Linked DNA regions of Oryzias latipes. The protein of the gene in region 4 purifies or fractionates together with the protein of the main gene of each other region. This does not show direct contact. Links are inferred from orthologs where the notes say so. Each region holds a gene or a part of one and is shown on either strand. Other genes may lie near its edges.

What was found.
Region 1: the proteins of znhit2 (region 4) and ruvbl2 purify together in Homo sapiens (affinity purification with mass spectrometry; 5 studies listed by BioGRID and IntAct, counting the BioPlex papers as one, with this or other methods). This does not show direct contact. The link is inferred for Oryzias latipes from reciprocal best matches to the Homo sapiens genes ZNHIT2 and RUVBL2.
Region 2: the proteins of znhit2 (region 4) and eftud2 purify together in Homo sapiens (affinity purification with mass spectrometry; 4 studies listed by BioGRID and IntAct, with this or other methods). This does not show direct contact. The link is inferred for Oryzias latipes from reciprocal best matches to the Homo sapiens genes ZNHIT2 and EFTUD2.
Region 3: the proteins of znhit2 (region 4) and tssc4 purify together in Homo sapiens (affinity purification with mass spectrometry; 3 studies listed by BioGRID and IntAct, counting the BioPlex papers as one, with this or other methods). This does not show direct contact. The link is inferred for Oryzias latipes from reciprocal best matches to the Homo sapiens genes ZNHIT2 and TSSC4.
Region 5: the proteins of znhit2 (region 4) and aar2 purify together in Homo sapiens (affinity purification with mass spectrometry; 3 studies listed by BioGRID and IntAct, counting the BioPlex papers as one, with this or other methods). This does not show direct contact. The link is inferred for Oryzias latipes from reciprocal best matches to the Homo sapiens genes ZNHIT2 and AAR2.
Region 6: the proteins of znhit2 (region 4) and ecd purify together in Homo sapiens (affinity purification with mass spectrometry; 3 studies listed by BioGRID and IntAct, counting the BioPlex papers as one, with this or other methods). This does not show direct contact. The link is inferred for Oryzias latipes from reciprocal best matches to the Homo sapiens genes ZNHIT2 and ECD.

What each region holds. Positions count from the first base shown.
Region 1 is NC_019872.2:21,690,832-21,694,840, forward strand, and holds the start of ruvbl2 (ruvB-like 2), read right to left. Parts: upstream 2,801-4,009; 5' UTR 2,691-2,800; intron 1,919-2,690; coding exon 1,864-1,918; intron 1,693-1,863; coding exon 1,637-1,692; intron 1,198-1,636; coding exon 1,056-1,197; intron 958-1,055; coding exon 828-957; intron 751-827; coding exon 684-750; intron 579-683; coding exon 472-578; intron 364-471; coding exon 270-363; intron 1-269. UniProt on the Homo sapiens protein: Possesses single-stranded DNA-stimulated ATPase and ATP-dependent DNA helicase (5' to 3') activity; hexamerization is thought to be critical for ATP hydrolysis and adjacent subunits in the ring-like structure contribute to the ATPase activity.
Region 2 is NC_019866.2:5,485,554-5,489,053, forward strand, and holds part of eftud2 (116 kDa U5 small nuclear ribonucleoprotein component), read right to left. Parts: coding exon 3,474-3,500; intron 3,386-3,473; coding exon 3,303-3,385; intron 2,166-3,302; coding exon 1,999-2,165; intron 1,846-1,998; coding exon 1,721-1,845; intron 1,642-1,720; coding exon 1,578-1,641; intron 1,506-1,577; coding exon 1,415-1,505; intron 1,304-1,414; coding exon 1,168-1,303; intron 463-1,167; coding exon 335-462; intron 226-334; coding exon 32-225; intron 1-31. UniProt on the Homo sapiens protein: Required for pre-mRNA splicing as component of the spliceosome, including pre-catalytic, catalytic and post-catalytic spliceosomal complexes. Component of the U5 snRNP and the U4/U6-U5 tri-snRNP complex, a building block of the spliceosome.
Region 3 is NC_019861.2:37,264,295-37,268,589, forward strand, and holds the start of tssc4 (protein TSSC4), read right to left. Parts: upstream 2,801-4,295; 5' UTR 2,704-2,800; intron 844-2,703; 5' UTR 774-843; coding exon 15-773; 3' UTR 1-14. Other genes in the region: shcbp1 (SHC SH2 domain-binding protein 1), read left to right, coding at 3,009-3,141, 4,043-4,252. UniProt on the Homo sapiens protein: Protein associated with the U5 snRNP, during its maturation and its post-splicing recycling and which is required for spliceosomal tri-snRNP complex assembly in the nucleus.
Region 4 is NC_019873.2:16,399,167-16,403,219, forward strand, and holds znhit2 (zinc finger HIT domain-containing protein 2), read left to right. Parts: upstream 1-1,384; 5' UTR 1,385-1,495; exon of another isoform or gene 1,496-1,499; intron 1,500-1,723; 5' UTR 1,724-1,781; coding exon 1,782-3,488; 3' UTR 3,489-3,553; downstream 3,554-4,053. Other genes in the region: lrpprc (leucine-rich PPR motif-containing protein, mitochondrial), read left to right, coding at 4,024-4,053. UniProt on the Homo sapiens protein: May act as a bridging factor mediating the interaction between the R2TP/Prefoldin-like (R2TP/PFDL) complex and U5 small nuclear ribonucleoprotein (U5 snRNP).
Region 5 is NC_019865.2:15,451,661-15,455,765, reverse strand, and holds the start of aar2 (protein AAR2 homolog), read left to right. Parts: upstream 1-1,305; 5' UTR 1,306-1,575; intron 1,576-2,132; 5' UTR 2,133-2,267; intron 2,268-2,502; 5' UTR 2,503-2,559; intron 2,560-2,889; 5' UTR 2,890-3,030; intron 3,031-3,127; 5' UTR 3,128-4,105. UniProt on the Homo sapiens protein: Component of the U5 snRNP complex that is required for spliceosome assembly and for pre-mRNA splicing.
Region 6 is NC_019873.2:17,934,722-17,938,778, reverse strand, and holds the start of ecd (protein ecdysoneless homolog), read right to left. Parts: upstream 2,801-4,057; 5' UTR 2,667-2,800; intron 2,471-2,666; 5' UTR 2,439-2,470; coding exon 2,234-2,438; intron 2,155-2,233; coding exon 2,037-2,154; intron 1,936-2,036; coding exon 1,848-1,935; intron 1,209-1,847; coding exon 1,030-1,208; intron 872-1,029; coding exon 679-871; intron 565-678; coding exon 436-564; intron 325-435; coding exon 196-324; intron 89-195; coding exon 3-88; intron 1-2. Other genes in the region: protein FAM149B1, read left to right, coding at 3,547-3,593. UniProt on the Homo sapiens protein: Regulator of p53/TP53 stability and function. Inhibits MDM2-mediated degradation of p53/TP53 possibly by cooperating in part with TXNIP. May be involved transcriptional regulation. In vitro has intrinsic transactivation activity enhanced by EP300.

The DNA.
Region 1 (4,009 bases), on a different chromosome or scaffold from region 4:
TGTGTAAAGAACAGAGAGGGGATTAATTGACAAGGTCAACAGCCAATCAGGACGCACAACACAGTGCTGTAAAAAGAAAAAAAAAACGTGCAGAATTGCAGTAAAAGAAAGCGAAAGGTGAACTGTGATATAGCAAGGGAACCCTGAAATCATAGTATTCATTATAATCTTCAAGTGATAACACTTACAGAGGCTTCAGGTGGACTTTGTATTTGACTATAACCCAAATTCAAAGTATGGTATTCAACTGTCCCATGCAGAGATCTTACCTGGGCTCCCATGGCGTCGTAGTCTCTGGCTCTAGTGAAGGAGCGCCCCAACTTGGAGATTTTCCCGGTGGCTTTGTCAATGGTAATAACATCACTAAAAAGTGTGTTTAAAGACAAACAAGAAAAGCTCCATTTAGATAGGACTGAGAAAAAAACAAAACCCAAACCTTTATATTGCTTTATGAGGAGAAGATGAACTCACCCGGCTTGAACTTTCTCTTTACTGAGGCTTTCAATCATCTTGTTCCCCAAGTCATATATTGTCTCCATCTCTGTAGTCTTCAGAGTCAGCTTCCCCACCTTTGCACCCTGATTAAAGCAAACCAGCTCAACATGAGGCGAATCAGCTAAATAAATCAACGTTTTCTAAAGCTATGGTATGGAAAGACTGTTTATGAAGTGAAAGGATCTTACTGTTCCAGTGGCGGGTCTGTCAATCTGGATTTCTACCACCTCCCCTTCAATGATTTCTGTCTCCTCTCTGGATTTATGGGGGGGAAGAGAGCGGACTTAATTTCTATCCAAAAAAAACAACCTAAACCTTGTTTATATACTTACTTGATTCTCACTCCTATAGCTTTTCTAAAAGCTTGGCTCAGTGCTTCAGTTTTGCTCATTTCCAGGGAAAAGATCTCACTTCCAGCCAGAGCTGTAAAGGGGGTGTCAGGGCCCAAAGACTGAGCAATACCTGTAGATGAAAGAAAAACATGCAACAAGCCTCAAATAGCCAACAGAACTTTGCCTCAGGTGGAAACTTGTATGCATCATTTCTGGTCCCATGCTCACCCATAGCAATAGCCGTCTTCCCCGTGCCCGGCTGGCCAGCAATCAGAACGGCCCTGCCGGCGATGTGTCCGTCTTTGATCATCTCCAGGATTATCCCTGCTGCTCGACGGGAGGCCAGCTGGCCGACCATCCCCTGTGACACCTGCAGGTGAACAGGGAACTCAACTCGTTCAGCAGCAAATATGCCTCATTCGGATTTTATCCTTTGACTTAAGGGACATTTTGAATGCTTTAAACAAGCTGCTAAAAGACTTTCCTGTTGGAATCACAACATGTGGGTTTAGTGCTGACAACAGGGCTTTAGAATCAAGTCTCGCTTTGCTACTTGACTACCTCTATACTGCTTCATGTTGTTTCCACACACAACAAAACATTAAAAGGTACATTCGAAACATTTTAACCTCTCAAGTTTAACAGCAGTTTAAAAATATCCAAATATGTTTTCCTCTGTTAAGTTTTTGCCTTTTTAAAGGACATGAATTACAAAAAAAAGCCATAATTTTATCAAAACTACAAACACCTAAAACTACTGAAGTCTTGGGTCAAAACAGAGATCAACAAACAGAAGTGCTGCACGTTACCTGTCTGGGCTCCAAAGCATCGTCCAAACCAAGGCCCCGAATGTGAGAGTGGGCCCCTAACCACACAAAGATGAAACTATTACACAAAATATTACAAACATACGGGAAATCATAGCAAAAATAAATACACACAGCTCATGTAGAGATAAGGCATGTTCTAAAGTTTACCATTCAATTTAAGCTTACCATTTATTTCTAAAGTGTTGAAAATCTGCATGGGGTCTTACCTATTCTTTCAATCCGTGTAATGTCCCGAACCTCTGGCACTTTTGTAGTTGCCATCTGTAGAATAATACATCAATGACAAGAAGAAAACAAAAAAATGCAAAGAAACATTTTTAAAACAATTTGCCTCATCGTAAACAAAAGAACAAATATTTTCAGAGGAGTTTAGGCCTTCGTTGATCTTTGACTAAATCTTAAGAGCATTTTTTATTGTTTGTTTAAAAATCCTGCTTATGAAAAAGAACAGCAAGAATTCCTTATGTGTGTGTTCAAATATCGATGACACTTTTGGATGTTTATCGTTTCCAAAGAGAGTTAAAATTTGCATCCTCCATTCACCAATGTTTTAGTGTTTTCCACATAGACTTTGTCAAAGCAATATAAATGTGGAATTCCTTTTATGCTCCACTTGTCCTGTCCGTTGTCATAGTGACAGCAATGAATGACCACACACAACACAACAGCAAAGCTTAGTCAACACTCTTTGACATTTTAAAATATATATACGCATATTTGTGAAACATATCTAGGAAGGAAAGTATTAGTAAATCAGGTTTAGAAAAATTGACACTTCACTGAAATTAGTTTATTTTCTAATATGAATACGGGGGGAGAAAATCGACAGGTAACATCAGCTAACGATATTAGCAAACAAGCTAGCATCATTCACACCGTTCATAACGCAAAACAACAGCACACGCCATATTAGCCGGGTAATAAAAGCCTGCATGACACGCGGAAGTACTTAAAAATAAATTGGCTATACTACTTGGGTGAAAATATTAAAGTCCAAATTGATTTTAACATCTACTACAAACTCAGGACTCACCTCCGCAGCCACACTTAAAAAACGTGAGAAGCGCCGCTTCTTTCTCAGGGAGTACTGGTTAAATGTGTCCGACAAGAAACATGCGAAGCCGTTCAGTTCCGCTACTAGAGTTTATTGGGACTGCCCTCTATAGACTCAAATGTGAATTACAAATCTGGCGTAAAAGCCCGGATTTGTTTTTGAGATGAAAGCTACGTTTTTGTCTTGATCGTCACGATAATGATAACCTGAAAATACTTAAATACTTCGAAATTATCTTTCTGTGTGTCAAATTTACTACCTAACAAATAATGTTTTTGGCATTTTTGATACCTATAACTATTAGAACTGAAATTTTAAGCATTCAAATACAGATTAAAGATTAGAAAGAAAAATAAACTCAGGTTGCTAATAATTTAAGACCTGGATTGCAGTCATCTGAACAAAATAAAACCAAGGAATCTAAAATTGTAGTTTAAAAAAATACTTTAAACTTAAAGAAATGCATAAGAAAACGTCACATTTTAAACAACTTATCATGCTGTTACCTTGAAAAAAAGATAATTAAACCTAAAACATCACAAATATTCATATATTTATTTCCCAACAAATGTAAAAATATGATCATGCATTAAAAAACATGTACTCCCTTAATATGCACTGCTTTTATAATGTGTGCTTGAAGTCCTTATGGTAATTTTCTCTCTTTATCATGACTTATATAATCCATAGGTGATCTCCTGAACCAAAACTGGTCAGAGAAACTAAGAGGTTTCAAAAACTTTCCATTTTGACCCAAAAGAAACCCTGTTGGTTTGCAGAGGATGTGACTAAACCTGATTAGTCTGAAGAAAAGCCCAGCAGCACTGCACAGATTTTTCCACTAGAGGATGCAAGATTAATGTTGTGCAAGGATCCTCATATAGACAAAGTTATAGTAAGAGATCTACTAATAAACCAAAGTTATAGGATTGATGACAGAAGCCACATGAAACTAAATGATGCTTGTAGAGATATTTCAGTTAGAGGGAGTAAGTGTAAACAACCCCTACATAAGGTATGAAGTGTAGGAATGGGTGTTGTTTCTTATTATTTACCTTGTAAAAAAACTGCATCTCCCTTTTTTATTTGCCAAGTCTGAGGATAATCTCTTTATCCTCAGAGAAATTGTTGAAAATGTTTAGACGAAATAACTCGAAGGAGCAGACCCCTCTGAAGTGCTACAGAGGGGGTCTTAATATCCTTTCCATAAATCATCAAATTCAACCCTCAAGGCTGAAGGGTTCCAGATCATAATGTTTCATTCAGGAAACAGATGGATGCTGAAAATGACAGGTTCT
Region 2 (3,500 bases), on a different chromosome or scaffold from region 4:
CAAACAAAATTCAGTAAACGTGGAAGCAAACCTGGCCACAGAGATCCAGAGGCGGCCGACGGTGCAGACGGAAGAGTCCTCCTCATCCTCCAGAGAATAGTTCTCCCCCAAAACTTTAACGGGCTGACCTGCCTGAATGGTACCACTCAGAACACGCCCGAATGCGTGAAACTGCACCCCGTCCTCAGTGCTGTACATTTTAGTGGTGTGGCACATGAGAGGACCCTAATTCAGAAGCAAGAAGGGACAGAAGATTGTAAAATCATTTACTTGTTGTTGGGAATTACCTTTAAAACAGCTGGGGGGTTCAGAGGATAGCTTTTTTTCTACTCACATCAGGGTCACATTCTGCCATGGCCTCCCCCAGGTCTGAATCCAGGCCTCCAGTGTAGGTGTGCTCTATCTTAATCCTAGCGCCCTCTTGTGGTGATGGGACATGTTGCACACACATGTCCACAAAACCTGCCAGAGAACAGCAGAACAACTTTTTAATGTGACCTTTCACCTCCGTACCAATATCTAGGGCTGTGGATCCCTACAAAAGAAAAAAATAAACATGTTTTACAGTTTGACTTGTTTTTTTTTCATCTTTAGTGGAAATACCCAAAAAAAGTCCCGCATTTTAGGTGAACGCATTTCGGTTACAGCGTGTCCGCCATGCAAGCAGACGTCACACATTTGATCACCAGATTTCATAATATTCTTCATCAAATATTCATTATATTTTTATTCAAATTGTCAACTACATTCAAAACAAATTGGGTTTTTTTTTAATATTATTTTAGTAAACTGAACTTCAGTCTCGTTTTTTTATCTACAAAAAACACGATAGTTTTCCTTTAAAAATGAGAACTTTCCCCAACCCTTTATATTCTAATTTTATTTACTTCCAGTGACAGTAGCACACACGGTTTGTTTAGTTTATATAATTAAAATACAACTTTATTTTACATTTTATGAGCGACATTGCCTGCAGAACATTTTAAAATACTTTACTACGGTATGTTTATAAGGATCACATATTAATAATCTTGAATATTGTTTTTATTCTGGAACAGATCACACATATCTAAAGTTTTCTGATATCTTTACAGCCCTAAACACTTCTCTCAGAGGTAGTCTACATAAAATCGACTGTATTTATCTACAGATGAGAGAAAAGCCCACCGGTGAATTCTCCAAAGAAGCGGTTACAGACCAGCCTCAGCAGAGGTCTGATGTTCAGCTTCAGTTCCTCCTTCGACAGGTGGATCCCCAGCTCATCCAGAACTCGGGGCAGGGATGTGTCCACATCCCCGACAACCTACAGCAAAGAGGATTTGGGAAAGGATTACACACTCGGCACTGAGCTGGTTGTGATGCCTTCATCTGAGGAGGAAAGAAAAAAAAACGAAAAAGGCAAGATGTGTCGAACCTGTGAGAGGATCTTGTAGAGAGGCTCCAGGATAAACTCCACAAAGCTGCGCTGAGAGTTACTGCTGGGAGCTTTCTTAGTGAACTTACGACTGAAAAGAGAAGAGGAAATGAATCGAGGATGTCTTTCTCTGTGCTGAAGTCAACCAAATCTGGTTACTGACGTTTTGGGATTGAAGTAAATGTCTCCCCAGAGTCTCTTGGCAAATTCATTATAGTTGATATCTCCTACAAGCATAAGAGCAGGTGTTAGCTGACAGTGTGGGAGCTGCACTATTAATGATGGGTTTATAGTACATCATCTAACCGTGTGTGTCAGAGTAGATCTTCGCAAAGGATCCGAGAGTGAAGCAAATGCTGTACTGAGAGCTGGCGAAGCAGACATTTCCAAGGAGGGGAGACACCACCAGGTTCTCGTCTGTGGAGTACGTACTGAAAGAGAAGAGAATGGATAACAAGAAAAAACAAAAACAAAAGGCCCGTTATCAAGCTAGTTACAACCATCCTTATTGTTATTTATTCTTTAACAGCAAGAATAAAATCCACTTAACGGGGCAGTAGCGATTAGTGGACTTGAACAATTACCTGAGCAAACCGTTGACCTCATCCACAATGTGACGAAGTTTATAATATGCATCTGTAGGAGGCAATTTGAGCTCCACGATGAGACGATCCACCTTGTTGATGCAGATGGTGATGGCCATGCGCTCCTGAACGGCGTGTTTGATCAGACGCTCTGTGTTCAGCATCACCTGAAACGAAAAACATCCATGAAAAATAAAATACAAACGTCCTCCAAATCCCAAATTAACAGACAACACTAACGAGAACATTAAGTATGAAATGTTTTTCATACAAAGAAATTTACCCTTTGCCTGAAGGAGAAACCAAATATCATGAAATCACACTACTGATGTTTGCCAATGATTCAGTGAACTAATAATAAACAGTAATTTATTGTATGCAATCATAAATGCAAAACATTTCAACTAAAAAACCAACTGCAATATTTTTATGAAATACTTTAATATGAACAGAGAACAAGGAAATTTCTCTTAAAATATCATGCACATTTTTGCCAACATAGATATAAAGGCAACATTGATCCTTTTCCACCAGAACATCAATGGGGACCTTTCTGTGTGGAGTTTGCATGTTCTCCCCGTGCATGCATGTGTTTTCTCCGGGGTCTCTGGCTTCCTCCCACTGTCCAAAAACCTGCTTTATAGGTTAATTGGTTAATCTAAATTGTCCCTAGGTGTGAGTGTGAGAGTGAATGGGTATGTGTTTGTGGACATTCTACCCTGCAACAGACTGCCAACCTGTCCAGGGCGCCCCCCTGCCTTCGCCCACAAGTGGCCGGGATAGGCTCCGGCAGCCCCGTGACCCCGAAAGGGACAAAACGGAATAGAAAATGAATGAATGAATGAATTTCTTGTTTATTTACAAAAATGTTTTGTTTTGTTTTTAATTCCAGTTGGTTTAATAATTTGATTTCCTGTTTTTATGTTTGTATAAACTTCAACTTTAACAAAAAAGCTGTTAGAACAGTTGAAACATTTTCTCTTTTGAAACTTTAATGGATTCCTTTGCTTTTTTTATTTTTGCTTAACCTGATTTACATTGTTGTTTTTATAGTAATTTGGAGTTTTGTTCATTTCCCTGGCAAATGTGAAAATGGTCTTTTGGACACAGTGGGGAGTTTTGCATTTGGTATTTTGTATGTGCAATATTTGTTAATGAAGTTAAAACAAAAATTTTAAAAACTTTGTAACTTCCTATTTGTCAAAAAAGTTTGATATTAATTATTAGAGCGGAAAAAAGGCAATAATGCGGAATCTGGACATCTTGGAGTGTAAGGGAAAAAGAGACAGTAATATGGATCATACTCCCTCTGCTGCATCGATGAAGAGGACAACACCGTCTGAGATCCTCATGCTTGCTGTGACCTCGTCAGAGAAGTTCACGTGACCTTAGATGAAAACACAAAGTTGGATTTTTTGGTTGTCTTCCTGACAAAGGGCTCACATGTAAAACAAAGTTAGGCTAAAATGCAACACCTGGAGTATCCATGATGTTGAACAAAT
Region 3 (4,295 bases), on a different chromosome or scaffold from region 4:
TCAAATCGAGCATTTTAGCACTCATCCTTGTGATCCGAGCTCCTTCTGTAGCTCTTCCTCTTCATTTTCTTGAAGGGGGTGAAGCTGGGGAGGGACTCCTGCTGGTCTCTGACCTCCTCTGCATCCTGCTGGGTCTTTCCAGCAGCCTTGTTGTCCTCCTCCTCTTCCTCAGCCAGGTGACTGAGGTGCAGTCTCTTCTCCTTTCCTTGCTGGTCTGACTCAGAGATTTCTTCCTTGAACGCTCGTTTGGGTTTAGAGAAGACCACCTTTTGCTGCTGGTCGTGGGGGGGTTCACCGGGGGGGCGGTTGCCCTCTTCAGGCCGCAGACTGGACAGGAAGTTGTGCGCCGCCCTGCGGTTCTCCTGATCAGTGGTCTCCTTCACGTCCTCCAGGCTGTAGCGCGTCCAGCGATCAGGGTGCAGCAGGTAGTCCGGGACCCCCCTCTTCTTTGCAGGAGGGGGACATTTGGGAGGGGGCATGCTCTCCTCGGGGAGCAGAGGTGCCGTCTGCCTCTCGACGCCATCCAGGCAGTCGAAGACGCTGCGGCTGCGGTCGGAGAACGCAGAGTTCCCTCCGCTCAAGACGAACGTGCTCGCAGTTGAGCGGGTGGCGCCGAGAGCGCACGCCTCCTCGCCCCCGTCGTCGCTGTCATCCAGCTCCGGGTCAAAGGGCGCCCGGCTCAGCTCTTCCTCGGGCTCCGACTCGTCACTGGCCGACAGCTCAAAGCCTTCTTGGTCGTCGCCGCAGCTCTGGACGCATTTCTGCTGCGACATCTTCAGCCGCGGCTGCAGCCGAACCCCGAGCCGCGAGGAAGACAAACCCGGTCAGGTGGGAACCCCAAAACTGTAGAGGAAGACACCAAAGGTCAGGCCACCCCATCAAACCTGCATGGACTGGTTTTAACATCTACCAAAACAACAACAAGCTGCTAGGACCTGTGAGGACGGACCACCGAGCATCCAACAGTAAATATGAGGGTTTTGGAAATAACCTGTAAAATAATAATGATCCTCTATGTTTACATCCATTTTAAAAGCAAGCATAATTATTTAAGTCCTAATTCTGTTCAATTCAAAACAAACTTGAAATAAATGTTTTGAAATAATGACCCAATAAAAGGTCAATAATTACAAGAATGCGCACGTGCAGCCAGTGCTGAACGTTGTCATTGGCTGCACGGACCCACAGGAAGGGTCAAGGTTAGGATTTCGGTAAGTTCAGGCAGGTATCCAGGAAGCACGTTTAAACTAGCCTGACTTTAAGCCTGAACTCTGGCTGAAATCCGCCTGAACTTGCTTACTCTGGGTATGTCGGTATGACCAGATTTGAGTTAGTGTAATTACGCTGGACTTGGTAACCCTAACTCAAACTCCCCAACCATCAAATCAGAGAATATTTGAATGAAACGTCCTTTCCCTACATCTCAAATTCAAATTATATAACCCAATATTTCAATAATTCAGAAAAGAAACAAATACGAACCAAATATTTCAAACTCCCCATCCCTCCTAAAGCCAAGGAAGTCAATTTTAAAACCTTTTCAGGTATTTTACCCTTCCAAGGAATTACTAAGAAAACGGTTTGGAATTCCTGAAAACTGCTGTTCTTTTTGTCATGATGACATTGAAACAACTGAGCATCTTTTCTTTGAATGTTTTGACTCTAATGTCTTTTGGAATTATTGGCTTTTCCCCCAAATCCCACATTTAGCAGACTTTTCTATTAAGGACATCATTTTTGGGTTTAATTTAAAAAACAAAAAAACACAGAACTTATTTTAAATGTTGTAATTATTTTGGGTAAATTCTATATACATAAATGTCAATTCCTTGAAATCCAACCATATTCTTTTACATTTCATAAAGAACTCTGCTCTTTTTTTCATCTGCAAACTTCATGGAAATCAAACTTGCTATGGAACTTCAAAGTATTATATGTAACTTGCAGCTTTTTGAGAACCCCCCAAGTCAAGAATCATTAAAATGTCTATGTGACCCCCTTTTTATTTTAATTTCTTTTATTTAATTTTTTTTCGGTATTATTGTTATATTTTTATTTTATCCTGCCTATGTTGTTTGTTCATGTCCTGTACTTTTTCTACTTTTCTATACTTGTCATAATTGTATACAATTGTTACAAATTGTAAACCTCAAGTGTTTTTTCAATTAAAAAAAAAGCTAAAAATAAAGAAAATACCCCCCTGGTTCCTGAGCGGCTGTTTCTGCAGCTCTCCGCTCCTCCAGGATCAAAGTACAATTTTCTCACAGTTAATGGGATTTTAACTTTAAATATGTTTTCCATAACTTTGTTTTCTAGTAAAAATACGTGCGAACAACAATAATAACATCATCATGATCATCAGCCTTAACAGCGCATGAATTAAAACATCTGTTTCATCTCATATATGAATTTTTTTTGTGCCTAAAAAACTAAAGCTTTTGTTTTGATTTTATTTAAAAAGATTGGCAATAAAAATAAAAATAACTCGGAATATTGACTTCGTAAAAACAAGATTCAGACTGAAGTTAGTTAGCATGCTAAGTAGCACGATGCTAGTAGTAGCGCGACATGCTAACAACGTTACAAATGCTTATAAACAAAACAAAAATGCTGTCTAGCCGAAAAGAGCTGCGAAATGCGCTGTTGTTTACATGACAAATATTTATATAATACGCGTAGTTTTGACTTAAATCCCGTTTGTACCTTTGAAATAGCGCAGACCGCCGGCCGAAACCCTCTTCTTCTACGGTAGATCGTGTAATGTTTACGTCATTACTGCCCCCTAACGATTGTCCTGTGGTACTGCAGACCGAGCCGATCCGCGCATGTAAAAAAACAAGGGCGGGTCTTTATATAGCTCCCTGCTGTGATTGGCTGAGCTGCAGCAGACCGGGATCTTTTGAAAGTGTCAGGGCGTGGGCTCAGAACTCCGCTTGTTGTTTCAAAGCTCCAAGTGCCGCGTGATCCTCATTTAATCCCGTTAAACCGAGACTCTGGCGAGCGTTTCAATGGAGTTCGAAGCCCTGGAAACCGGGTGTACCGTCAGCGACGTGTCGGACTTGGTGGTGGTCGATCTGGATCCTCAGGTCGAGACGGACAGCGTTTGCTCCGCGGGACCCGGTTTATTGGATGTAGCGCAAGGTTTGTTACGTTACCGTTTTTGGTTTGAGTTTTCTTTCCTCCGAGTCGGTGTATGAGACAAGCTAACCGCTGCCGTCGAGGTTTGCTAGCTTGGAGATTTAGCAGACTTTTTATCCGAGTTTCCGGCGGTCTGTGAACGCAGCGTCTTCATATGTCGTCAGCCTGAGCTGCATTCTCGGAACTGTCAATCTTGCAGGATTTTCCAAACTTAACCCAAATACGACAAATAATTATATTTCACTCTCATCTGAGTAGACATTAACGGATGTTGAAATAAACAAATAACACAATTATGTTATTACAAAAACAAAATATACCTATAGAAGACCGCAAAAGGGGTGTCAGACTGTTTCTTTTTTTTTTTTTAAGATATCCTGCCTTATCTGCTACTGATTACCTGGATCAGGTGTGCTTCATGGCAGGTTGGTTGGACAACATGTAGGACACCGGCCCTCGAGGCCTGGAGTTTGACACCTGGAAAACGGGGGTGTAAATAAATTCATTTATTTGTGTATGTAGACACAGTATTTGTGACTCTTTTGTTGATTCTATGAAGTTGTTTAACAGATTGTTAAATAAAAGAGAAGAGAAAATATCTGCTTTCATGAGGATTTTGACACAGGAGGACCGGAAAAAGCCTTAAAACCTGTTAACTTACTAAAAATACAGCAATTAAGGACAAAAATAACATTTAAAATGCCTATGAAATTATTATTAAAATTAGAGTTGAAAGCATATTTTTTAAAATAGCAAAATAACTTTATAAATGAGTTAAATCAATGCAAACATTTTTTTTAAAGTCCTTCAAAGTTTAAAAAAGCATTAACAGTCTTTTATTTTGAAAAGTGGCGCTGGACAAACTTTCACAGCCATCATTCATGACCTCCGCTGGGTTCTGCAGCTCTGTTCCAGAACGATGATGCTGGAGACGTCAGTGACGAAGACGAGGATGACGACGACGACAGCGGGACAGACCACCAGAACTCTGAGAGGTCGGGGACGCAGCTGCAGAGGTCGGAGCGGCGGTCAGGAGCGACTCTGCCGGACACCTTCCAGACCGGCAGCCTGCTGTTCTACGAGAGGTTCAAGGCGTACCAGGACTACATGCTGGGTAACGGGGGACCCCAACGCTCGCATGGAGGCGGTTATATTAC
Region 4 (4,053 bases):
AACCGACACAGAAAATTGACATTGCAAACATTTTCATAGCATTGAAAATAAGAACAATGTGTAACTCTTCAGTATAAGATTTTTACAGTACCATTTTATTTTATTTTTTTAAGCACAATTACAACGCAACATCAAAAATGTAACTAATTCGCTAAAATGATTTTTTCTATAGTATATTCCAATTCAGGCCAAACTGTTGGACTGCTGTTTTACAGATAGCCTAGTTGAAGAACCAGCAGGAATCATTAAAATGTTTTTTCTTCATCGGGAATCGTACATCAAACAGTACTTGAAATTTATTTTATTACGTCTACTTAAGTATAAGTATAGCAATTGTACTGTAGACCATAAACTGTATGTGTAGTGTGGGAAGTATATTAACTGAATACTTTTTCAGACTGAATTGGAACATTTTAAGTTTACAATATATAGATATTACAGAAAAAGTAGATTTCAAGTATGCTGCCAAAAATTAAGAATAGGCTAAATATACTTGACGTTTACTTGAATAGACTTATTTTTGCAAAGCGATGGACTGATCAGCTTCACCATTCTATTCTGAAAATCTTAAATGCAGTTCAAGTGCATATTTATAGTTTTCATTCATTTTCTACCGTTTTATCCCTTTCGGGGTCACGGGGCTGCCAGAGCCTATCCTGACCACTTGTGGGCGAAGGCAGGGGACACCCTGGACAGTTTGCCAGTCTGTCACACACCCACTCACATTAACACCTAGGGACAAATTAGAGTGACCAATTGACCTATGAAGCATGTTTTTGACTGGGAGGAAGCTGGAGACCCCGGAGATAACCCACACATGCACGGGGAGAACATGCAAACTCCACACAGAAAGGTCCCCCATTGGTGTTCTGGTTCAGGCAATGGAGGAAGAGCGCTAACCACTGTGCCACAGTGCAGCCATAGACACTTTATTTATTTTGCATTGATCCTATAAATATTGCAAGATAAATAAAGTATCTATCTATCTATCTATCTATCTATCTATCTATCTATCTATCTATCTATCTATCTATCTATCTATCTATCTATCTATCTATCTATCTATCTATCTATCTATCTATCTATCTATCTATCTATCTATCTATCTATCTATCTATCTATCTATCTATCTATCTATCTATCTATCTATCTATCTATCTATCTATCTATCTATCTATCTATCTTAGATTCAATAGCAACACAGAAAAGTTAATAGCAGTTTAATAAAAGTTAATACCAAATTAACTGTTTTTAACTGATATGAAGTTAATAGCAAATATATCTTAAATGGAAAAAAATAAAATTTTCTTACAGTTTTTGTTGAGATGAAAATAATTATGAAATAACTATTTGAATTTTTTTGTTTTTGTTTATAAAAGATTAGAAACGAATGTTGACGTCATCAACATTCGACGGCTTGATGATGATGAAAACAAAAGTGGACCGGGGCAGTGAGCTTACCGTGACAGTGCTAATGCTAATGCTGTTAGCTAAAGTAGGTAAAGCTTGTTTGGTTACTTTATTAATACAATATAACTCATTTTAAGGCTTTAAATTGTGTTTTTATGCCATTTAGTAACATTTAAAAATACAAAAATTGTTTTTTTTTTGCGTTTGTATCGTCCAGTAAATGTCAGTTTGTCTGGAGTTAGCGTGTTGCTGTCGTTAGTTTAAGCTTTTCAGTAAGAATCAAAGCCCTAATAAAACGTGTTTATGTTCCCAGGTGACTGCTTCAGAAAACTCTGCTCTTTCATGCCTTCCTTGGAACCAGTTTTCCATCTATGATGATGAATTCGCTAATTAGACGTAGACTACCCCCGTCGGTAGAGAGTCTTCTGACTAACATCGATCCAAAGGAGGAATGGACTGATACAGAATCCGAACCAACGACCAGAGATGGGATTCTCCTCCCGTCTAGAGGCTCTGCATCCAACACAGAGGGGTTTCTCTCTCCAGCCAAGATTTGCTACGGGGAGGCTCAAAATAACACAATAACAGCATGTACGTTTTGTAAATGTAAACCTTCTCGTTATACCTGTCCTCGTTGTAACCTCCAATACTGTGGGTTGGCATGCTATCAGAGCCGGGAGCACACCTCCTGTTCAGAGGAGTTTTACAAGGAGTCTGTTCTTCAGGAGCTGAAGAAAATGGGAAAGACAGAAAGTGAGGGAAGAAGGAGAATGCAAGAGATTTTGTTGGGAATTCAACAAAAGGGAGAAATGACTGAAGGAGGGATGGAACGTGTGCTAAAGGAAGAGGGTATTGTAAAAGACAACTCTGATGAGGAGGAAGAAAAAATTCAGGTTATGGAACTTTTGTCCAAGTTAGCACAGCTTCAGCAGTCGGAGGAAGAGAATTCAACCGAGATTGAAGCCATTCTGAGAAAACTTGAGGAGATTGGAGGAGCAGATCCAATGTCTGGAGACTCTGATGATGATGCAGAAGAGAAGTTGGACCTCACAGAACGACTGAAAGGGCTGGATATCGATAAACTATCGGAAGACGAGCTGTGGGACCTTCTCAACAGTAAAGAGAGAGAGTCATTTATGGGTCTGATGAAGAATGGAAGACTTTGGGGGCTGGTTCCTCTGTGGAAGCCTTGGTGGGAGGACCATGAGGAGGAACATAAAGAACTGGTGGAGATGATTCAAGGAGAAGAGGGCAAACTGGAGAGAGAAACTACTACAGTTACAAATCTGCAGGGGGACAATAACAAAGTCAAGACATCTCAAGAAGTCGAACCAGCGAGAGAATCAACTTCAAAGCTGAAAAATAAAAGGAGAAACAAAAAAGAGACACGTCAAAGCGAAGGAAGTTCAGCTAGAGTTCCTCCAGTTTCTGCAAAAATTCCAAAGTTAAGTTCCCTGTGTGCAAATCCATCTCCTCTGGTTTGCTACAGTCTAGTGAATACTCTTTATAGCTATGCCTTTACTCTCTGCCGATTTAATGGAGACACTGATTCTCTGATTTTAGAGTTCTGTGAGATGATCCTTGCTCTGTCTGAAGCCCTCCATTCAAGTAAAGTGTTTAGCTCTGTCCAAGAAGCTATAGACTGTGTACAGCCTCTCATCTTAGGAGGAGGGTATCTTGACAAAGAGGATCCTCTAGCTCCAGCTATGGCAGTGGAAGCGGTTGCCCATATCATGACTGGCAAAAACAAACGAGATCCAACAGGATACTGCCTGTCTGCATTAAACCAGCTTCGCATGATTCTTTCAAATACCAGAAAAACTCTGTCCAAAGAGGGAGACGATGCTGCAAAGAGACAGAAGTTCTTTCAAGCTATTAAAAAGTGTGAGTTCTATCAAGCCTGGGTGTTGGAGAATGAACATCAGATTCAAAGGCTGGCCATTGAGTTGTGGAGTGAGCACAGTAAAAGAGAGAGTTTAAGAAACTGCATGGACCAAGCCAAGGCTTTTGTTGAAGAAAATCGGAAAAAAGAAAAGGGAAAGAAAGACGACACAGAGCTCATCGAGGAACTAAACTGATGTATATTTTGTTTAATGTGTTGATTTTAAGATCTGTTTTGTAATAAAGTTTACAGAAAATTGAATATTGGTGTTTGTGTAAAAAATTAAAACTCAAAACAGCAATTTTGGATGTCCAATTACTAAATTAAAAAAGCCTCTTTCCATTTAGAAATGTAAACGTTTTAAATGCATAGAGTTAAAGTAATAAAAAGTTGAAATCATTGGAAAATTAGGAATATAACTATACAAAGCTTTTAAAACAATATTACGTGAATAAACATCTGATTTTTGAGGCCACAGTTGTAGGCATCACCCTATCACAAAGAAAATGTAAAGCAACATTTTATTAAAACAGATTATAAATAAAAGCGTTTAAGAAAATTTGATTCAAATGATAGTATTTGAATTTGAAAAAAAAAAAGACTTAGTGGAAGTATTAGTCGTTTCTGTTAACATTTTTCAGAGCAATGATCAGGAACTTGGTCATAACAGACACTCTCGCGATATTTCCGCTCACGTGTTGCGGATCTTCCTCTACGCAGCTACAGAAAACATGGCAGCGCTCTTGAGATCAGCCCGGTTA
Region 5 (4,105 bases), on a different chromosome or scaffold from region 4:
TTTCTACGCCGCACCCGGTATAATCCCACTCCCCAAAAATAAACACAAATTGTTTCATTTGTCTCTCTTTAGTTCTAATTTTGACCTGAATGCTCCTATATTTCTTATTAGCATGAAGCCATGAAGGTTCAAAGAGCTTAGAAGTATCTTTGAACTTATGGATCACCAAGGATTAAGTAAATAAACAGAAATATGAATTCATTTTTTAGACTTTGTTTCTGTTATAATCAGTGAGACCAACTTTTTCCTCTGACAATGACACCCCTTTGTATTGTTCAGGGAGTCTAGATAGAGTTAGCTCAGACCTTCTTTTTTGTTGAGGTTCATGTCTGTTCTTAAAGTTTCTGGCCAGAAATTAGCGCATGCATTCCCGTCCCCCTGTGCAAAAGACCCAATCCTGCTTTGCCCTGCAATTTGAAAGAAATCTGTAAAACTTTACGCAATAGAGTGTGCAAAATGACAATGTAAAAACTCCATGTTTGGTTTGTTCAACTTTTAATTTTTGTGTCTTTACTCCCAAACAAACAATGCAGACCTTCTGAAGTGAATGTTTGGTTGAGGGGAATTCTGACTCCAAACTCAGTGAGACAGACGATGATCTGCAAATGATGTTTTCAAAGTAAGGCTAAACATAGCAGCTACAATATTCAAGAGAAGTCTCTTCATGCATCTAGAAAAAGTTTTTTTTAAACTTTTGAGTCTCAATTCAGCAGTAATTATCTGGTGAGATCTTAAATTACACTAATATCTCATTTAGATTTCATGAATAAAATTTGCATTTGTTCCACAGGATTAGACAGTTCTCAAAGTTTCTGTCATTAAATGACAAAAAAATATTTCTCAAACTGAATTAAATGCTGATTCTTGTATTTTTACATCAATGCAGCTGAAATATAACTTTCTTTCTATAAAAGTGTTTTTCAGATGTCAGAATAAAATGTGAGAATATGGGAGAACAAAAACTTTCATTGTAGGAAATGTTCTGCTGGACCAGTTCAGTTACCCCCACCACCCCCACCCCCGCAGTCGGTTCCCATAGTTGTTTATTGTTATAAAATGTGGTTTCTCATTTTTTTTGTCTAAATCACAAATAAAGGGTTTCTTTATTTTATCATTCAACCATAAACTAGACCTCTAAACTTTTATTCATTAATACCATTATTATTAGAAAGTAACGCTAGTTGATGAGAAGAAAAGCTTCTCTTTTAGTGTCCTATCTTCCAAACGAAACCGAAAGCACAAAGGCAGATGATTGATTGCAGGAGTTTCCTCGACCTGAACCGACTGGAATTTGATGAAATCCTAAACCCAGCGTCAGTAGTCCATGACGGGGAGGAAATTGAGCAGCAGCAGCAGCAGCCTGGGTGATGCTGGAAAGACGCAGCGCTGCGTCGGCTGTGACTGACCCCGCTGCAGCTCTGACCTCTGCACCTGAGAAAGTGTGCAGTGCAGACAGTACCGAGAGGAAGCAGAAGGATAATGAGAGCAGCTGGAGCGTTAATTCCACGAACCTGCAAGTCACTGTCAGACATAGGTTTGCTCGTCTGAGGATCCTGCTGAAGAGCATAATAAATGGTAAGCGCACTGGTGCGTAATTACGCACGCACAGTGACAAAGTGAGTTGTTTTAGTGCTTTGATGCCAAAGCAGAGATTGAGAATTAAACCTGAGACTCGGACTTGAGTCTCACTTCAGTTTCAAAGGCAGGGATTTAAGACTTGAAAGCCTATTTAAGACTGAAACCTTAACTTCAAGAGCATCAGACTAGACTTTGAGGACTTGAGAACATTCTTAGTTTATTTTTAGTTTTACCTTAAAAAAAAAAAACAGATTGAGGTCTAATATTTTTGTGCTGTATGTGTCACTATTAGGTGGTTTAAAATACTGTAATGACATTAGTGAGAATCACACATTTTTAAAAATAATTTCCAACATTTTGGATTTGACTTGTAACCAAAGACTTAAAACCAGACTATGACTTGGGAAAAGTGGATTTCAGAGCATTTTAATGCCAAAGTCTGTGCACTTTGTCTTTCTGTCATGTGATACAAAGATGCCCAGGAGCCGAGTGATTTTATTCAGTCTTCACTGGGCTGCATTTAAGGTACTTCCACACCTCTTTCTTTTATGCAGTGTCTGACCGGAACTCTACTCCACAGTGTCCTGGTGGTTCTCTTGTTGGCCAACTCATCTGGTAAAAGTAAATGTAACTACAAAGACATACTGGGCTTCTACAGAGAAGTCATCTTCGTTGAGCTGCAGAATCTGGTATGACGACCAAACTGACCGCAAAATAAGAATTTCAATGTTTGTTTATATTCAACAGCCTTTTACCTACAGCTGACACTAAGAAAAGTGTTGGAATATATGGTTAGAGACTGCCCTCCAGTGTTTGTTTTGCAACACACACACAAAGAAAAGCCTCAAAACGAATTTTCCCACACTTTGAATGAGATGAAACTGGATTTCTAAAATAATATTTTTGATGACTAATGTTTTTCAGAATTTGACTGTTTCTCACAACTCATCCAAAGGGAGAGATCCCTGCCCCTCTGCAAAGGTGAGCATCAATGCTATAGGTACATTAGATGTAGTTTGGTGGCTGTAAAACGGAAATCACACACACAACAAATGCAGTAAACGTAGTAACAAAAATGGAAACAAATTACAGAAAACTGTTAAAATAGAACATTTAAAAATATTTTGCTTTAAAAAAAAAAAAACAATATTAAAAGTAAAAACAAAAAAACAAAAAAGGAGATTTCTTTAACCCTGATGTGACATATTTGTTTAGTTTGGCAAGTTTTGTCTACCCAAATACTTGCATTGTTTGTTATCAAGGTCTTTAAATGCTGTCTGTTTTCTCCTTTTTCCTGCCATCTCATGGCAGGCACATCGCATCCTTGTGTCCATATACATTAACACACAGCAGGTCCTCTGTTTGAAGAGCGGCAAGAAGCTGTCTGACCTGAAAAAGCCAATAGAAAACATGGAGCAGCTCATCGTTCAAAACTGCAGTCCTAATTATATGGTGAGAAAAAGTACCGATGCAGATCTTTGAAGTATGCAAAAAAACTTAAAAATCTGAACTAATTTATCTTTTTTTTCTTTTTTTCTTTTACTTCTAGGGAAAGAAAAACCCCTGTTCATCTGCCCAAAAAATACAAGGGAGAAAAGGCAAGAGATTTAGGGTGATCAAAACCATAAAGGCATTGATTAGATGTTGGGAAAAACTCAAAAGTGTCGTACCCTCTGATAAATAGTATGACTTTGGTCCCTAGGACCCGTGCTACTCTATGCACTCAAATTTCCAGATGGTTCTTCCAATCTGGTCAAGATAGACTTTGTAAAAAAAAAAACGGCTTCCTCTTTTATTGGAATGCTCAAGTTGTTTTATTCCTCCTTTTTTTAACAGTTGTCGAGATCTCCGAGTTTTGTGATTAAAAAAACGCCATCCACTGCATGTCAGCATTCCTCTTTGCAATATGAATTGTTTCCTAATAAGCCAAGATAAGCTAAAAAGTATTCACTCACCATTCAGATGTTCTCCAGTAAAATATGCACATTTTCATTCTTTGTAGCATGTTTTTTTTGAATGACATATTGACATTATACATATTTCCTGTCTTTTTTACTGTAATTTCATTTAATAAAATACTGAATATTTATTAATACTTTTATTAGAGAGGAAATTGTTGGTTTTGTTGTTTTTTATAAAAGGAAATCTTAAAGAGTGGAACTGTTCTTAAAAAGAATGTTTCCGACGGAACAAATAAGGTGTTACGCAGCGTCCGCCAGTGTTTACAGCCGAGAGTCCGCGAAGCGAATTCGCCACGAATCTGAACATTATCGTAAAGTAGCTTTTGTTCTTTGCATGTTAGTAAAAAAAAAAGTGCGAAGGGCAGTTCTTAGTCAGAATTATACTCTTTTCATTGTTTGTTTTCGTAACATTTACAGCGACGCAGAAATGCGTTTTTGTTCCTTAACAACACTCCCCTGAAGCAGCTTCTTCACTAGTCTGTGACTGTCTGTGGGACGTTCTGGGTAATCCTTTCCAATATTCAGGACACTTGTATTTTATTTTAGGAGGTTATTTGTGACACAAA
Region 6 (4,057 bases), about 1.5 Mb from region 4:
ACCTAGATTTTGAAGCAACGGATTGTTTGAAGAAAACTTCTGCTGATCTTAAAAGCTCTTTAAACCGGGCCGAACCTTCCAGCTCCCCCTGCATTTGGAAACGAATTTAACAATTAATTAAAAGCACTGAATAAACAAATCATCCTCATGAATGCATTTCATAAAAAACAAAACTGTTAACAAATGTGAACCAACCCGGAAGTAGTCATTCTTTTGGAGACTTTTCAGGAAGCTTTTCCACTGAGGGTTACAGCTGACAGCAGCGTCGTCGGGCCCTGAAGAAGGAAGTCTGCACCTGGAGCACAAAATCTCAAAGCCGTGAGCCTGAAAGTGGAGCCCAAACACAGACACGAGGCTTCGTGTTACACAGAAAACACAAAGGTGTGTGCTCACAACCAAAGCATGCGAAGATGAAGACAAAGAAAAAGGATTAACCAGTTTCATGCCAAGCTCATGGGCTTTGTAGTGAGGATGAGTGCGCGGAGGAAGGTTAAAGCCACTCCTCCGATCTGGCGTGAACTGCTGCTGCTGCAGCTGGGCATAGAGGCAGCGGGTAAACGTAACCTGGAAATGAGTAAAGGTGAATCTTAGAAGGTATTCTGTGCTTATGATATCAAAACTGAGCTAAAACCTCGTCTGCATGCTCATCCAGCAGAACTCGGGTCGTCGTGTCATTACCGAGGTGAGGACTCTGGTGTCGGGGTGAAACGTCTTGAAGCTCCGACATGCCTGCAGGTCGACTGGATCTCTTAAATAAAAAGCTGAGACGGCAGGTGCCACCAGGTCAGGACGATGCGCCAACACGGTGGCGATTCCTGCCGGTATGAAGCAGTGAGCACGGTGGAGGCCGCTTTTTATCTTCTCTGGGTATCTGAGGAGAAGCAAATGGTTTTTGGTTTGGAATTCAATCCATCATTTACAAAGATTTAAGTCAGCAAAAAACGTATACACTCTCACATTATTTAACCCACAATGATATGATGTAAAATTTAGCGGCAGAAATACTAAAAGGTCTTCTTTATGCATCACCCCACAAGTCTTTTTCTCAGGGCTGAACGTATCCCGGGGCTTGCTTGGCAAGCTTCTGGGTGAGCAGAGAGAAGTGCGAGAGCCTGTTCCACACTGGGGACCACATTACGTGGGAAGCCCACAGAACTCGATTTGGAAGGGCGAGGAATGATGTGCAACTCTCCCCTAAAGAGAAAAACCTGCAAAAGATTGAAAAAAATTATAATAATTAACACTTAAACTATCGAAGGTGGGTTGTCACAAGCTATACATTGACTTCAGTGGGTTTTTGCAGAAATTGTAAGATTTTATTGCACAAGACTTTCTACCCCTGTTCATTTCAAATGAAAAAATCAGAACTTTTACTCAGCTAAAAAAAGAGCTGCATCTATCTAAAAAAAAATATATATTATAATAGATTATAATTATAATAAATCTGTTTCCTTGTAAAGGAGCAGGGATGCGTTGTGAGGTAAAAAAAAACAAACTTTAAAAATAGGGGAGATTTGGTTACATATTTTTATCAAGTCAAAACACAGGTGTTAATAGAATTTATTGGTATCAATCAACAAATTGAAAACATCAGAAAAATCCAATGTCATCCATCCCTTTTTATTCTTCACATCATATTGAAAGCTCTCCGGTTATAATTATTTTAAAGATGCTTATCAATATTTTGCAATACTGCAACATATTACATTTTATCATCTGTTTTTCTGACTCAAGAGGTTTCACTATAAATCTGATCAAAACTCTTTCTGAGAGTAATCCATCACCTTTCAAAAGTATAGAAATATGATATAAAACACACTATTTGCCCCTCTGTGTGTCTGACTCACCCTGTTTTCACTTGTATCGGGGCTCAACCATTTGGGAAGATAATCTGCAGCTTCGATGAGAATAAATTCCCCGTCGTTGTCTTCAACACTGAGTAAAAATTAATTATATTTGGGAACAAACCAAAGTAATGTTGGCAAGAATTAGTTTAAAGAAGAAAATATAACTTCAAATACATATATATTCTTCACCTGACAACCAGATCTGAGAAAGTCTTTGTGATCTGCTGCAGAAGGTAAACGATAAACCACTCATCCTCCACGTTGTCCCCAAACTGAGTGATGCCTCCAATGTGAGCCGGGATGTCTCCTGTTTGCAAACGGAATATACAAAAGTTAATAGTTAGAAAGCTATTAAAGTGAACATAGATCATATAACCATCCATTACCTTTGGATGGATGATACTTCAGATTGAATGGTTGATGTTGCCAAATATATTCCACCAACATGGGGGCAAGCTTTGCAAAAATCTCTCCAAGCATCTCTTTAAGTCGTCGCTCGTTCTGCTGAAGAGTTGAATGATCCGCAGGTAGCAAGAAGAGATTGTATTGGACCATATCATCCTGAAATACCCTTCTTTGTAAAAGATCCATTTTTGTTCAATTTCTGTACTTTTGCACGCAACCTGTTGGAAGGAATGAACAATAAACTAGTGTGCACGTGCGATAAGCAAAGTAAGGTCACAATGTATGTCCAACTGCACAACACAACAGAGAAAGAACTAAAGACAAGTTACCACTGTAGTCCGTTTACAGTTAGCTAAACTCAATTATTACGTAACGACGTAATTTGCATAAACATACTTTAGGATTGAAGCTTACCCTGTCTTACTATAAATTACGTTGATGTGATTGAAAGAAAAAAATAATGACAAAAAATTCTTCAATCATGTTTACAAAACGACACATCCACGATGCTTTCTGCCACTGATTGATCCGTCGGTAATATCAAGCCGACTACACTCTACAACCGGGTTCCTACCATCGTCTTTAAGTTCCGCTTTCTTAAAAACATGCGAATAATACCCCTTCTAGATAAACACAAAAAAATAAAAATATAAATGTTTTTATTAAACTCATATTAAAATGATGTGGTTATGTTAAATTCTCAAGTAAGTCTTTTGGAATTTGTCAATGTCCACTAAACATAACGGAAGCTTTTTCTAGACGTACAAACCACCAGTTACAATGCATGCTGGGAGTTGAAGTAGGTTTTCATTGATTAAGCTCAACACAGATTGTGAATTAACTGCATTTCCCATGAAGAAGCGCGTTCAACACAATTGGTATCCATGACAGCGGCGTTATTGTTGCCAGTGGTTTAGCTAGTACTAGCATTCAGTCCTCTCACAGCAAAAACAAACAAATGTATTAAATATGGTTAGTATAGAACGCTTGTAGATGGCTTGTGTGTGCCATTATAACATTGCTAGAACAACGCTAGAACATCATTTTGCAACGTTGTTTGTGCCCTGTTGATATTTTGCAGGGATGTTGTTCACGCTGGTTAGCTGATATTTTTAGCATCTCATGACACTAAACAGAGCATTAGCATTCTTTTGTCTGTTCAGTCGTGGAGTCATCTTGTCAGAGGAACGTTGTGCCAGGAATATTAGACTTTTCCACAAGATCCTCTGGAGCGGAGGCAGGGACGAGAAATGATGGATTTAGCCGATCATAGAGCAGAGATACAAGCCGGAGAATGATTTCACGATACACCAGAAGACCCGTTTCGCATAAGCTTGAAATGTGAGTACAGTACTACCACACACAACACAAATGTTAAGTTCAGGATTTTTCCTCATCTGTGCTTCATAATTAAATAGTTGTGCTCTGCATGAAGGACTGTTAGCATAATCGACTATCAACAACAACAGAAAAAAGGCTCAAAAGTTGTTTCGTATTTTACTTAAAAATCAATCAAGAATACTTTTGGATTATCTGAGCTGTGTGTCACAGCCTGATGATGATACCCCTTAGACAAAAGCATGATAAATACTTCTAAAGTTAAACAAAAGTTACTATAAATTAAAATCAAACTTAACTTTAAAATATCAATGTAAAAGAATCAAATACACCAACGGAGTTGATTAAAAATCTCCTGTTTTTTATGTTTTGTTTTTTTTCCCCCCAGATGAGTTTATTGGTGTTGAAAATGAACAGAAGGTTGCTCAGGCTGATCAGCAATCTGAGGCTCTGGGGCCAAAGGTGGC